Linked DNA regions of Mus musculus. The protein of the gene in region 3 binds, or shares a complex with, the protein of the main gene of each other region. Links are inferred from orthologs where the notes say so. Each region holds a gene or a part of one and is shown on either strand. Other genes may lie near its edges. The genes, in order: Cnot8, Cnot7 and Cnot9.

The links.
Region 1: Cnot9 (region 3) and Cnot8 share a complex: the UniProt entries of both Homo sapiens proteins name them as parts of the CCR4-NOT complex. The link is inferred for Mus musculus from reciprocal best matches to the Homo sapiens genes CNOT9 and CNOT8.
Region 2: Cnot9 (region 3) and Cnot7 share a complex: the UniProt entries of both Homo sapiens proteins name them as parts of the CCR4-NOT complex. The link is inferred for Mus musculus from reciprocal best matches to the Homo sapiens genes CNOT9 and CNOT7.

The regions. Positions count from the first base shown.
Region 1 is NC_000077.6:58,102,674-58,106,821, forward strand, and holds the start of Cnot8 (CCR4-NOT transcription complex subunit 8), read left to right. Parts: upstream 1-1,296; 5' UTR 1,297-1,535; intron 1,536-1,555; exon of another isoform or gene 1,556-2,121; intron 2,122-4,148. UniProt on the Homo sapiens protein: Has 3'-5' poly(A) exoribonuclease activity for synthetic poly(A) RNA substrate. Its function seems to be partially redundant with that of CNOT7.
Region 2 is NC_000074.6:40,505,120-40,508,767, forward strand, and holds part of Cnot7 (CCR4-NOT transcription complex subunit 7), read right to left. Parts: intron 2,530-3,648; coding exon 2,336-2,529; intron 1-2,335. UniProt on the Homo sapiens protein: Has 3'-5' poly(A) exoribonuclease activity for synthetic poly(A) RNA substrate. Its function seems to be partially redundant with that of CNOT8.
Region 3 is NC_000067.6:74,526,502-74,530,149, reverse strand, and holds part of Cnot9 (CCR4-NOT transcription complex subunit 9), read right to left. Parts: intron 3,159-3,648; coding exon 3,060-3,158; intron 2,559-3,059; coding exon 2,467-2,558; intron 1,465-2,466; coding exon 1,296-1,464; 3' UTR 1-1,295. UniProt on the Homo sapiens protein: Component of the CCR4-NOT complex which is one of the major cellular mRNA deadenylases and is linked to various cellular processes including bulk mRNA degradation, miRNA-mediated repression, translational repression during translational initiation and general transcription regulation.

The DNA.
Region 1 (4,148 bases), on a different chromosome or scaffold from region 3:
GGGGAAGCCAGGTGTTTCCTGTTCAACTCTTTCAGAGCACACCAGGCCTATTGGTGGCAAGAACCCCCCCTCCCCCCAAATTCCATGCTTCTCACATGACTAGCACATGCTAGGTCCACCCTCTCCTGAAGGACTCAACGGCTGCTCCTCACATGACTAGCACATGCTAGGTCCACCCTCTCCTGAATCGAATCACAGAACAGAGCAAGGACATGCACTGAACAGACTGAGGGAAGGCAGTGTCTACCTAGCCTAGACAACCCGAACACCTCAAAAGAGGCCAGCCCTGCAGCTAGTCCCATCAACATTGTTGCAGGGAATCCACCGCAGCTACAGTTACTGACTGCCCAGGCCTGGTTCTTTGTGGTGACGGTTGTGGCTTGGTCTAGGGTTTCATCCTCATCACAGTCTTGTGTCTCTATTTACAGATCCTGGAGAGAAACAACAAAGGCTGGGCTTCAGAAACTGTCCCTGACATCGTTACCCCAGAAGCTGGCTGTGCGATTTCACAGTTTGAAAGGCTAGCTCTCATTTAGTCAGTAAGTCCTATTTTGGGGATTTCTTCTGGAATAAAAGTTTAAAATGAAAAGGGCAAAGTGACTGGGAGACGGGATGTCAGAAGGGGGACACCTGCTGTATGCTTACCTACGGCCCCTAGGAGAGGAAGCACCAGGGGAGGGGAGGCGCTCTTCGGAGGTCTTAGTCTTCTTGCCCCGTGGGAAAGCACGAGGTGGCGATACATCCCAGCATGGCCTCGCTACCAGCGAACCCCCTACTCTCCCTGACTGGCCCCTCTCTCTCTGCACTGACCCACAGTGATACCAGGGACACAGCGGACAGCACAGGCCCCGGAGCAGCGCTGCTTAGGCCGTCCAGGTTCTGGGAGGCAGTGCTCAGCTGACCTCATTCATGACTCGGTTTGGTGGCGCTCTCCCACCCCTACCTAATGGTCATCCAGAAGGGGTTCTGTGAATAGATGGTCAGTGAATGAGGGGTTCAGGTTGCAGTAATCGAGGGTCAGGACACCCCATGTGCCCTGCATCATCACCTACAACCAACAGTCGTAATATGCTCTGATGTTAGGAAGTGGGGCCAGTTCTAGATCCCGTCCTTTCCCGAGGCGCGACTCATGATACTCCAGAACCTAGGCGGGGACCAAGTTTACACTGCTAGACGCCGTTTGAGGCCTCAGGGCAAACCTCGTTTTACGCACGCGCCCTCCGCCAAACCCAACTTTCTCGCTCTGCGCCTGCGCAGGGAGGCGGGGCGTAGGTATCTGAGCGCGCACGGGGGGACGGAGCCGAGACCGGCGGGACCGCGCACGCCTGGAGTGACGCGGAGAGTAGGCGAGTCGGGAGGGCGGACGGGTAGAGTGGTGCAACCTCTTGGTTTGGTGCCCATCGTCGGCCGCTCTGGGCGCCAGGACTCACGTCTCCCTGTCGAGCTGGGTTTCTGGAGCGGATCCGGGGCAAGAGGGAGGAGAGCTCGGGGTCAAGGGCCGCTGCCGCCCGCACTCGGCGGGGCCGCCAGCCAGGGTAAGCAGGTTAGGTTGCTTACGGTAGGAGCAGGAGGCGGAAGTGCCTCCGTGGCGACCCATCCTACACACGGGAACACTGAGGCACAGAGGCTACGGGGCTCTCGGTCCCCGGAGTCCAGCCTGGAGGCCTAAGGAATGGTGGGGGAGGCAAGAGGCCGCTCTGCTTGGCTCTTGGGGTGCTGCAGCTTTGCGTGGCAGGGCCGCCGTCGCGGAGCCAGCAAGCTGGATGGGGTGCCGTCTAAGTCCAGGGCTGTGGCCTGGAACGCTCCAGAGGGGACCTGTTGCCATTTCTTCTAACGGGCCGCTGCTTCCTCCTGCGCCCGTCTTGCACTGCTAAAGCCTTTTGTTTAGTCTTCTGGAACAGGGAAGTGAAGCTGATTGTCTCCCAGACGCTCTGGCGCAAACAAAAGCCGACGACGAGCAGGAGACACTCAGTGGAACTGAGTTCTGCACGGCTAGCAGGGAGAGCGTGGTTTCGTGCGTTCGCACTCCTCGCTCTTCAGAGCCCACCTGGGTGCACAGACACCCTGCTCCCAAGTTTGGATAATCAGGAGCGGTCACAACAGATTGCTTGGCAGCCTAGGGTGTGTGTGTGTGTGTGTCAGTGTTTTTGTGTCTGTGTGTGTGAGAACACAGGGCAGTGTGTGTGTGTGTGTGTGTGTGTGTGTGAGAACCCCTTTCTTTCCCTTTGTAGTTTCAAATGTAGCTTGGTTTGGGGATCGAGTTTTAAAGCCAGCCTGTGAGGCAAACATTGCATGGGATCAAAATTTTCCTTTAAGGGAGAGATCGCACAGCTGTTGATACACTCAACCCTCTCCCCCTCACACTCATAAAAATAAATCTTTAAGGGAGAACGCAGCCTCAACCTCCGAACCTTCCTGAAGAATTTTGAAGGATAATTTTTTTAGGGTTTAATGTTTATTAATGTATGAATTTATAATTAATATCACGAGTGTGTTGGTGGAAAAAATAGGCCGAAAAGGCGTCAACATTCTCAGGGGCTGGAGTTACAGGCATTTGTGAGCCAATTCACATGGGTGCTGGAAACCAAACTCTGGTCTTCTGGAAGAGCAGCAAGTGCTCTCAACTGCTAAGCCATCACTCCAGCCCCATTCTTCTTTAAGCTATTATTATTGTTATTGTTATTATTTATTGTGTGTACACAAGTGCCAAGTTGTCCATGTGGAAGTCATATTTGGGGTTTATGTTCTTTTCTTCTATCAAGTGAGTCTGGGGCTCAAAACTTAAGTTGTTCTCAGCTTGGCAGCAAGTACTGGTTGCATACCTCCAAGCTGCCTCCCTGGTCAGTTTAGTTTGCTTTCTTTCCTTCTAAAAACAGGGTCTCAGCTGGCGATGGTGCTGCACGCCTCTAATCCCAGCACTTGGAGGTTGAAGCAGTTAGATCTCTGAGTCCAAGGCCAGTTTGGTGTGCACAGCCTGGGCTACATAGAAAAACCTGTCTCAAGGGCGCACACCTTTAATCCCAGCACTCAGGAGGCAGAGGCAGGCGGGTTTCTGAGTTCGAGGCCAGCCTGGTCTACAGAGTGAGTTCCAGGACAGCCAGGGCTACACAGAGAAACCCTGTCTCAGAAAAAAAAAAAGAAAAAAAGGAAAAAAAAAAAAAAAGACAGTTGTGAGCTGCCATGTGTGTACTGGGATTTGAACCCAGGTCGCCTGGAAGAACAGTCTTAATCACTGAGCCATCTCTCCAACCCTGTCTCAAAGGACAAAATGGAACAATGAAATAAAAGCAGGGTCTTCTCTGATTGTAGCCCAGACTGGCCTCAAGTTCCTGGGGATTCTCCTTTCTCAGCCTCCCGAGTGTGGGACTGCTATCTTACTTCTCAGTATATATAAGTCAGGATGTCAGTTTTTTCTTTGAGTTGTGAAATTCATTATTGTTCTTCTGGTTGAAACCTCAGTAATGAGGTTACCCCAGGGGCTGTTGTTACACAAATAACTGTACTTGAAAACAGAATTCTGAGGTATGGGAACGAGAGGGTGATGAAGAGAAGGTATCTTGGAGCCTGAGCTTCTTGGGTGGAAAGTGGAGGGAGGGCGTTAGTCTGTGTTGAATTGCTGTGTTCTCTCTTCCCTGTGGCCAGCATGCCCAGGAAGTTCCTTTGCTCAGTTAAATGTGCATTATATGGTCTCTCTCATATGCCTGGGAAGGATTCCTTGTGGATCTGCCTGATGATAGAGTCCAAAGCCGAGGCTGATCTGGAACAATCTTTCTTCTTCTTCTTCTTTTTTTTTTGTTTTTTGTTTGTTTTTGAGACAGGGTTTCTCTGAATGGCCCTGGCTGTCCTGGAACTCACTCTGTAGACCAGGCTGGCCTTGAACTCAGAAATCTGCCCGCCTCTGCCTCCTGAGTGCTGGGATTAAAGGCGTGTGCCACCACCTCCCGGCTCGCTTGATGGCTCGCTCTTTCTTCCTTTCTTTTTTTCTTTCTTCCTTCCTTTCTTTCTTCCTTCTTTCTTTCTTTCTTTCTTTCTTTCTTTCTTTCTTTCTTTCTTTCTTTCTTTCTTTCTTTCCTTCCTTCCTTCCTTCCTTCCTTTCCTTTTTCTTTCCTTTCTTTCCTTTCTTTCCTTTCTTTCCTTTCTTTCCTTTC
Region 2 (3,648 bases), on a different chromosome or scaffold from region 3:
ACAAAAATTTTCGCAAGCACAGACAACAGGCAGAGAGATGAAAACCACTAGGCTATTATGATGTTGGACAATGTTCACCAACACTGTGCTGCAGAGCCTAGTGCACTAACACGCTCCTTCTAGGCATTCAACAAGGTCAATTTCCACCATCCTTCAACACGTCTAAGATGCTATTATGATGCTTCCCACATTATGCAGTACTACTTTTATCTTCTCAAAGGCTTTTGTTCTCATTAACATTTTTCACTATGTTCTTAAAAATTTTAGCCTAAAATTTTCATTGTGTGTGTGCGCGCGCGCGCCTGCACATGTCCATCATATGACACATATTCAGTTCTCTCCCACCATGTGAGTCCTGAGCATCATACTTAAGATCATCCACCATGATGGCAGGCACTTAAGCACTGAGCCACCTCACCAGCCAATGCACTCTTTTCTTTACCATCCTATGATGTTACCATTAGTAGAAATAGTAGCAAAATTGGCGGTAAAACTAGTTTTGTCTGAGTAAGAAAAAAACAAATGTTCCTGGAGAATAATGGAAAAGCCACTGCTACAAAAATTACCATCCTTGCAATGAAGACTACCAGCTTTACCAACTAATACCCTGAGATATTAGCTCCCAGTCACAAACTGAGTATCTTATATAAAAAAACAAAACAAAAACAAAAAAACCAAACAACACCCAATGCTATGATGATTAATTTGAGGGGTAAAAAGAACCCTGAAGAAGTTAAAATAGGAAAAAACTAAAGAACACAGTAATCATTTGAGGAGAGCATGGGAGGACATTTTCACCTGTTCCAAAGCTGTAGTACTCATGAAGCACTATGAAATGACAGTGGGGATGAGCACGTTAGCCTTTCTAGGGTCTATAGGGACTGTCAGGACAGTACTAGATGTTAAAATACTATCAGGATTATTTAGAGGAGTAACAACACATTTTTCAAGATACACAACTGCATCGCTTACACTACTGCCTTCTAAAACCATCAGTCCTGCTATTCATTAGGTCTAACATAAAACTGTACATATTCAACAAAAAATAGGAATGAAGAAAGAATTCTCATTCTCATGTAAGAATTCTTACACTAGCACTGATTTTCTTATCATTTTCTGTTGCTATTTTTCAAACCAGATGTTTGATCATATTATACAAATATAGGCTACCAAGCAGAAGGGCACCACAATATTGTAACATAGTACAGAATATACTATATATTTTATTTCCATACCTGAACAGCAGTAATATGCCCCTGCCTCATACTAGGCGCTTATATCCTGAAGCTCAGAAGTCATATGAACTCCACAATGGTTATAAATGTGGCAAACTTACTTAAAACATTGTGTGTGTGTGTGTATATATAAATTTTAAAAATCCAAATGCATGGTTCTTGAGCATAAACTTTGCCAATGATGCTGTGTCAAAAGGATGGACTCACCTTCATGCAGTTCCCTCAGCTATGAAGATTGTAATAATTAATGTAGAACTATTTTAACTAAAGAAATAGTTTATACCCAAGATTTGAGGTAGACATCAGGTTTTGGTAAATATGCAAGCTTCAATACTATTACATTTTCTGTATGTAGATTAAGAGGTTGAGGATTGCATTGGAATAGCCCTTTAGAGAAAATGAATTTGAAAAGAAAATAGCCCCAATTTCCCAAGAAATATCTTAGTACACGTGGTGAGTATTTAGAATGCAAAGTATGACTGTAATAATAGTTTCTTCACAGGAATAATAACTATCTTAACAAGTCACAGTAGATTGGAGTTGTAGCTAAGTGGTACCCGCTTGCTTAGTCAGCAAAGCGCCACCCCAATCATATGTATTCCAAGTTGGGCATAAAAACAAATGTGAAAGCTCTATGTGTGGTGGCACAAGCCTTTTAATCCCAGCACTTGGGAGGCAGAAGCAGATGGATCTCTGGGAGTTTGAGCCCAGCATTGTCTACATAGAGAGTTCCAGGCCAGCCTAGGCTATGTAATGAGACACTGTCTCAAAAAAGCAAAACAACAGCAAAATGTAAAAGTCAAATCAATACCCTAAGGGTCATGCTTAGGGCCCCAGGTTTAATCTGCAGCACCTTAAACAATGACAAACACAACAGAAACAGCAACACAAATACAGGTTCACAACTTTCCATAAAAATGACCATCATATTTTAAAAATAACATCTCTATAACTAAAGTCTTTGAAATTAGAAAGTTTTTATTATCTTTCTAACTGTGAAGCAATTACAACTGCCTCGTAATAATAAGCCTAAACTTTTGAATTTCTGTATTTAGTACATTTCCAGGGACACTGAGGTTATATATTTACTTCCCACTTACGTCAAATTAAACTTAAAGTTAAACTGCCAAGTTGACGTTCCTGGAGGGTATTCTCCCTGTTCATTCATAAAGGTCAGTCCGAGCTGGATTATCTTTAACAAGTCTACATTACACCGCAACAGTTGGTACTGATAGTCAGCATTGCTTCTGAATTCTCCAATGGGTCTTGCAACAACGCCTGGAAACTCGGTGTCCTGTAAAATAATTGATAATTGTTTACTAAATGGTCATAAATACAACCCATAAACTCTCAGGAAATTTTTGATACAAGTCAGAGAATTCTATGACAATGAAATTCTGTATGTTCACACTCAATGCTTATTTTATAAGCATGAACAGCATTACCTATCAGACCTCAATATTCTATAAACTTAAATTACTTTTTCTTGAAATTTATCCATAAATTACTATCCTGTACTGATAACTCATAATAAACTCAGGCAAATATTTGGGCTATTTCCAAGGAAAAGAAAAATCATAAACTGATTCCTAAGGAGTAGGCATATGAAACTACACTTATAGCATTACATTACTAAACTCAACCCGCATGAAAGATTGATTTAAAAGTTAAAAAGTACCCTGTGCTTTCCAATCAAAGCAGTGAGACACCAAAATAAAGAAAAAGTCTCATTAATGTCATTTCTTTAGTTAGCACAGGTGTTTTCTGTGTACAGTCACACTCTCTCTTGTAAGCTGTCCTTTCTGTAATGCAGCTATTCCTTATTATCTGAGATATAAATGACCACTAACAATTTCTGCTGCTCATAAAAATAACGGTCCCTGCCGAGACAGAAAGTTTCAGCTCTAATTATGGACAAGCATACCTTACTGAATGGTATGCTATACAAAGAAATTCCTGTTTATCCACAGAGATGCATTTCTTTTTAAATTGTGATAGTAAAATTATGTATTAGTTTAGCATGAGCATTCAAATTAAGGCTAACAAAAAAGAGGAGGAGGAGGAAGAGGAAGAAAAAAATAGTAAGTCAATATGACAGCAAAGAAATTAAAATTTGCTGAATTTAATACAACCACCAGCCAATTACTGGATTCTATAAAAATTAAGCTAGACGTGAAGTGGGCCAGGGATAGAGGTGCAAGACATTGAAATATCGCCTTCTAGGGCTAATAATTGTGTGGATCAAGAAAATAGACTAGCACTGGGCGTGGTGGCGCACTGTCTCGAGAAAAACCCTGTCTCAAGAGAAACCCTGTCTCGAAAAAAAACAAACAAAAAAACCCAAGAAAATAGACTAGCTATAACAAATACACAAAATGTAGTAACAAAGCAGAAAATTAATTATACAAACATG
Region 3 (3,648 bases):
TTCTAGAGTTGGATTAATAATCCCATCTTTGGAGGTGAGGATGAGAAACAAAGGCTGACGGTGGGAAGGATCGCAGTTTACAGTAACAGGTTGAGAGTCAAGCCCATGGGGATGGAAGGGGGGCCCTGACACTATCAACAAGTAAAAAAACATTTCAGTGGCAACCCTGTAGTTTCCATAGACCTAAGAAAGTGTGTTAAAAAGGAGAGGAGACTGAGCCAGCAGAGTCCAGCTATTCATTTTAAATCTGAAGAAACTCATTCAGCTGCTTCTACAATCATGAGGAGATGGCACTATGAAAACTCACGCTAGAGAACGGGGTCAAGTAGTCTACCATTTGGATCCAGGCGCTTACTCCGTTTGAGAAGACACCTGGAAATTATCTTCGAAGACCTGAATTTGAAGAACTGCGATCCCTCCTGCCCCAATACAATTCTCTTTTAGGGAAGGTTGAGTAAATTAAGACACCTGCTTTAAGTCTAAGTGGTAAAAAAGGGGAAAGCGCTGAGATGTGGGTAGGCTAGCAGCTGAAGCCAGAACAAGGTGAGTGTCCTCACAGCAGCCAGGTATGGGAGGGAAAGAACAGGAGCAGAGAGCAGGCACAGAGTTCCTGCTTGGCCTTTGGCTTTCCTATTCCCTTGCCTCCCATTCCACCCAACAGCCTGATGCAGCTATCGGTCTGTCAGAGGGGATGCAATGCCCAGACCAACTTTTTATTGAGCTTATGCAGCTAACAGACTTGTAAACAGTGCCAACTGACAAAGTTTTGCTGAGAACTACAGCTTGTGTCCATTAAACACATCTCTCTCTTTTGAGATTAAAAACAAAAATCCAAAGTAAACAAATACTGTAAGAGAGAATTAAGAGACACACCTTAAGTTGTCCAGGAAGGCAAAGTTTAAAAAAAAAAAAAAAAAGCCACATGGCTTGGTCCCCGGTGCTCTCATGCCTAGAGTGTTGCTGCCATTACCACGTTCTCTCCTCTCTCTACCAGTGGCTAGGTAGAGGTTCAGGAGCAGGGTCATCTTGGGCATGCTGCAAACACAGCATTTGCTGGTGTTGACACCCGCCTGGGGTTGTGGTAGCAGACTGCTGTCAGGAGCCCAATTCCTGGGAGCAGTAGGGGGATCCAGGACCTCCAGTCAGCCCACACACCTCAGCGGGTACCTTGCCCCTTTTCTCCAGTACAGTTCAGCACTGAGGTTGTCTATTCCCAGCAATAAAACCTGAGCTGTTTTCCTCATAGGTTCCACCCTCACTCCCCAGCAAAGGGGAGCAGTGAGAGGGAACGAGGATCACTGAGGGGGCAGGGGAATCCCCCGGGGATCGGTGACCTGGCCCTCTTGCAGGTTCTTCACCAGTTGTGCAAGCCAGCGTTTCGTGGTGGTGTCGTCTTTTAGCACCTGGGCAAAGGTTGTGTCCTTCAGCTGGTCAGGGAGGCACTGTCTGAGTGCTTCACGTGCCCTACATCAGAAAGACAACACATAAGCCCATATTTGGGAGCTGGGAAGACCCCCTTTCTTAGATATAAATATACAATTTCCTAGGAATCCATGGCTATCAAGTTACACCATGAAACTATTAGAATCTTTAAAGCAGGTGTTATGTAGCCCACAAATATTTTTACCACACCTCAATGCAGAACTTCATGCAAAAGCAAAATGGAATAATATGATGCAATATTTCACTCCAAACTGTTCTGATTTAATGATAAATACTGTCAAAATACCATTAGACATAGCTTATGAGAAATGAAATTATTTTCCATACAGAGCTGTTCTGAACAGTTACAGCTCTTATACTTAAACAGGTGTAATTTCTAATAAGTATATTCCAAACTTGGGAGGTACTGAAAAACAGGACAAATGATCAAAGAATAGCTAGGGCTCAAATAACCCCACTGGCTAGAGACAAGCCACTTGATTCTCAGGAACTCAGAAAGCACTCCATTATGTGGCTTAGCAGAATCTGAACATGTAGCTTTCATCATAAATTATGGATTAGTAGGAGAGAAGGTCAAACATTTCTGAAGTGCATTACATCTACAAAGTGCAAGATTCTGGCAGAGTCCTTGAACCCACCAAGAAAAAGTACTAAGTTCAACAGCTTACAGGAAGCAGAGAACTGCAAGCTAAAAAAGCCTCTAGGCTACAGGACTTTGCAAGAGACCTTTAAAGTACTCTGATTACCTGGAGTAGCCACAGAAAGCCCACACCACACCAGCCTCCCTTGAAACTGCTTGGGCTTTCGGGAATTTCAGGGTAGGACAGAGTTACAACAGGAGGAAGGTCTAACTAGTGCATTTTAAAGTCAGAATTTTAAATTTTAACCGGAACTTAAGTTTGTCTTAGACAAACTAAAGTTATATGCGTTCCAATTCTCAAGACAGAAGATCTGAGCTATAACACTGGAATCCATTCATGATACTATTTCGACAAAATCTTCTAAGTCCTATTAAATCTTTACCTGGGATTATCTGAGAGTCGAAGGTAACATCTTACTACGTGCTTCAGCAGACGGGCTGACGGTTCTTTGGATAGCTGCAGGACCATTTTACCCTGTTTTACCCAAAACAAAGGTAGGGGGGGAAAAGTCACAAAGTAATTCGAAATGACACCAGAGACCAGATCATCTAAGAATCATTATAAAGTTTCCGTTACCCCCCCCCCCCCCATTTGAGAAAGGGTCTCTATATTTCCTGTAGTCTTGGCTAGCCAAGCACTTGCTATATAGATCAGGCTGGACTCAACCTCAAAGAGATCTGCCTGCCTCTGCTACCACAGCTCTGGGATTAAAGACACACACTACCATTCCAGCTAGTATTTTTGGGCTAGGACACTACTTCTTCATTTGGCTGGTGAGAAACCCATGCTGCTGCTCCAAGCCCACAGGCATCCTCTTGCATCCCTCTGCCTTATAGATACTAGGATGACAGGCATATACCATCGTACCTGGCCAAGTGTTATTTCTAGTTAGAAGACAAAGTTTTGGGTCAGTAACGAAGGGACTAAGTTTTGTGATGGAAGTAAACTGCAAAGAGAGTAAAGGAAAGAACTCACCAAGATCATGGCAACATGGGAAAAACGCTCATATGTCTGACATATATAAGCTAAACCAGTGTCATCCAAGAGGATCTTCTGGAGTATGAATGTGGCAACCTGGAGCAAAACAAAGATGAATGATGCCTAAAGAGCTGCTCAGACTTATCATTTAAGTGACTACTGTCCACACATCTAGGCATGATCAGCACTCAAAGCATAACATAAGCGGAGTACCCTGCACATTTTACATAACTTTATCAAGCATCACACAATCAGAACAAATGTTATTGTACTGAACAAGTACTATGTCAGGATTTTTTTTCTTTCTTTCTTTTTTTTTTTTGTTTTTTTGAGACAGGGTTTCTCTGTGTAGCCCTGGCTGTCCTGGAACTCACTTTGTAGACAAGGCTGGCCTCCTGCCTCTGCTTCCCGAGTGCTGGGATTAAAGGCGTGCGTCACCACGCCTGGCATCAGAATTTTTTTCTAAAGGCTATTTATAGGCTTCACTTTTCCTATTGAGTCCACAAAGTACCTACCATTATTCTCATTTTATATAAAGGGGAAAGCCCTAGATAATTACCAGGAGAATTGCATAAAACTTGAGTCC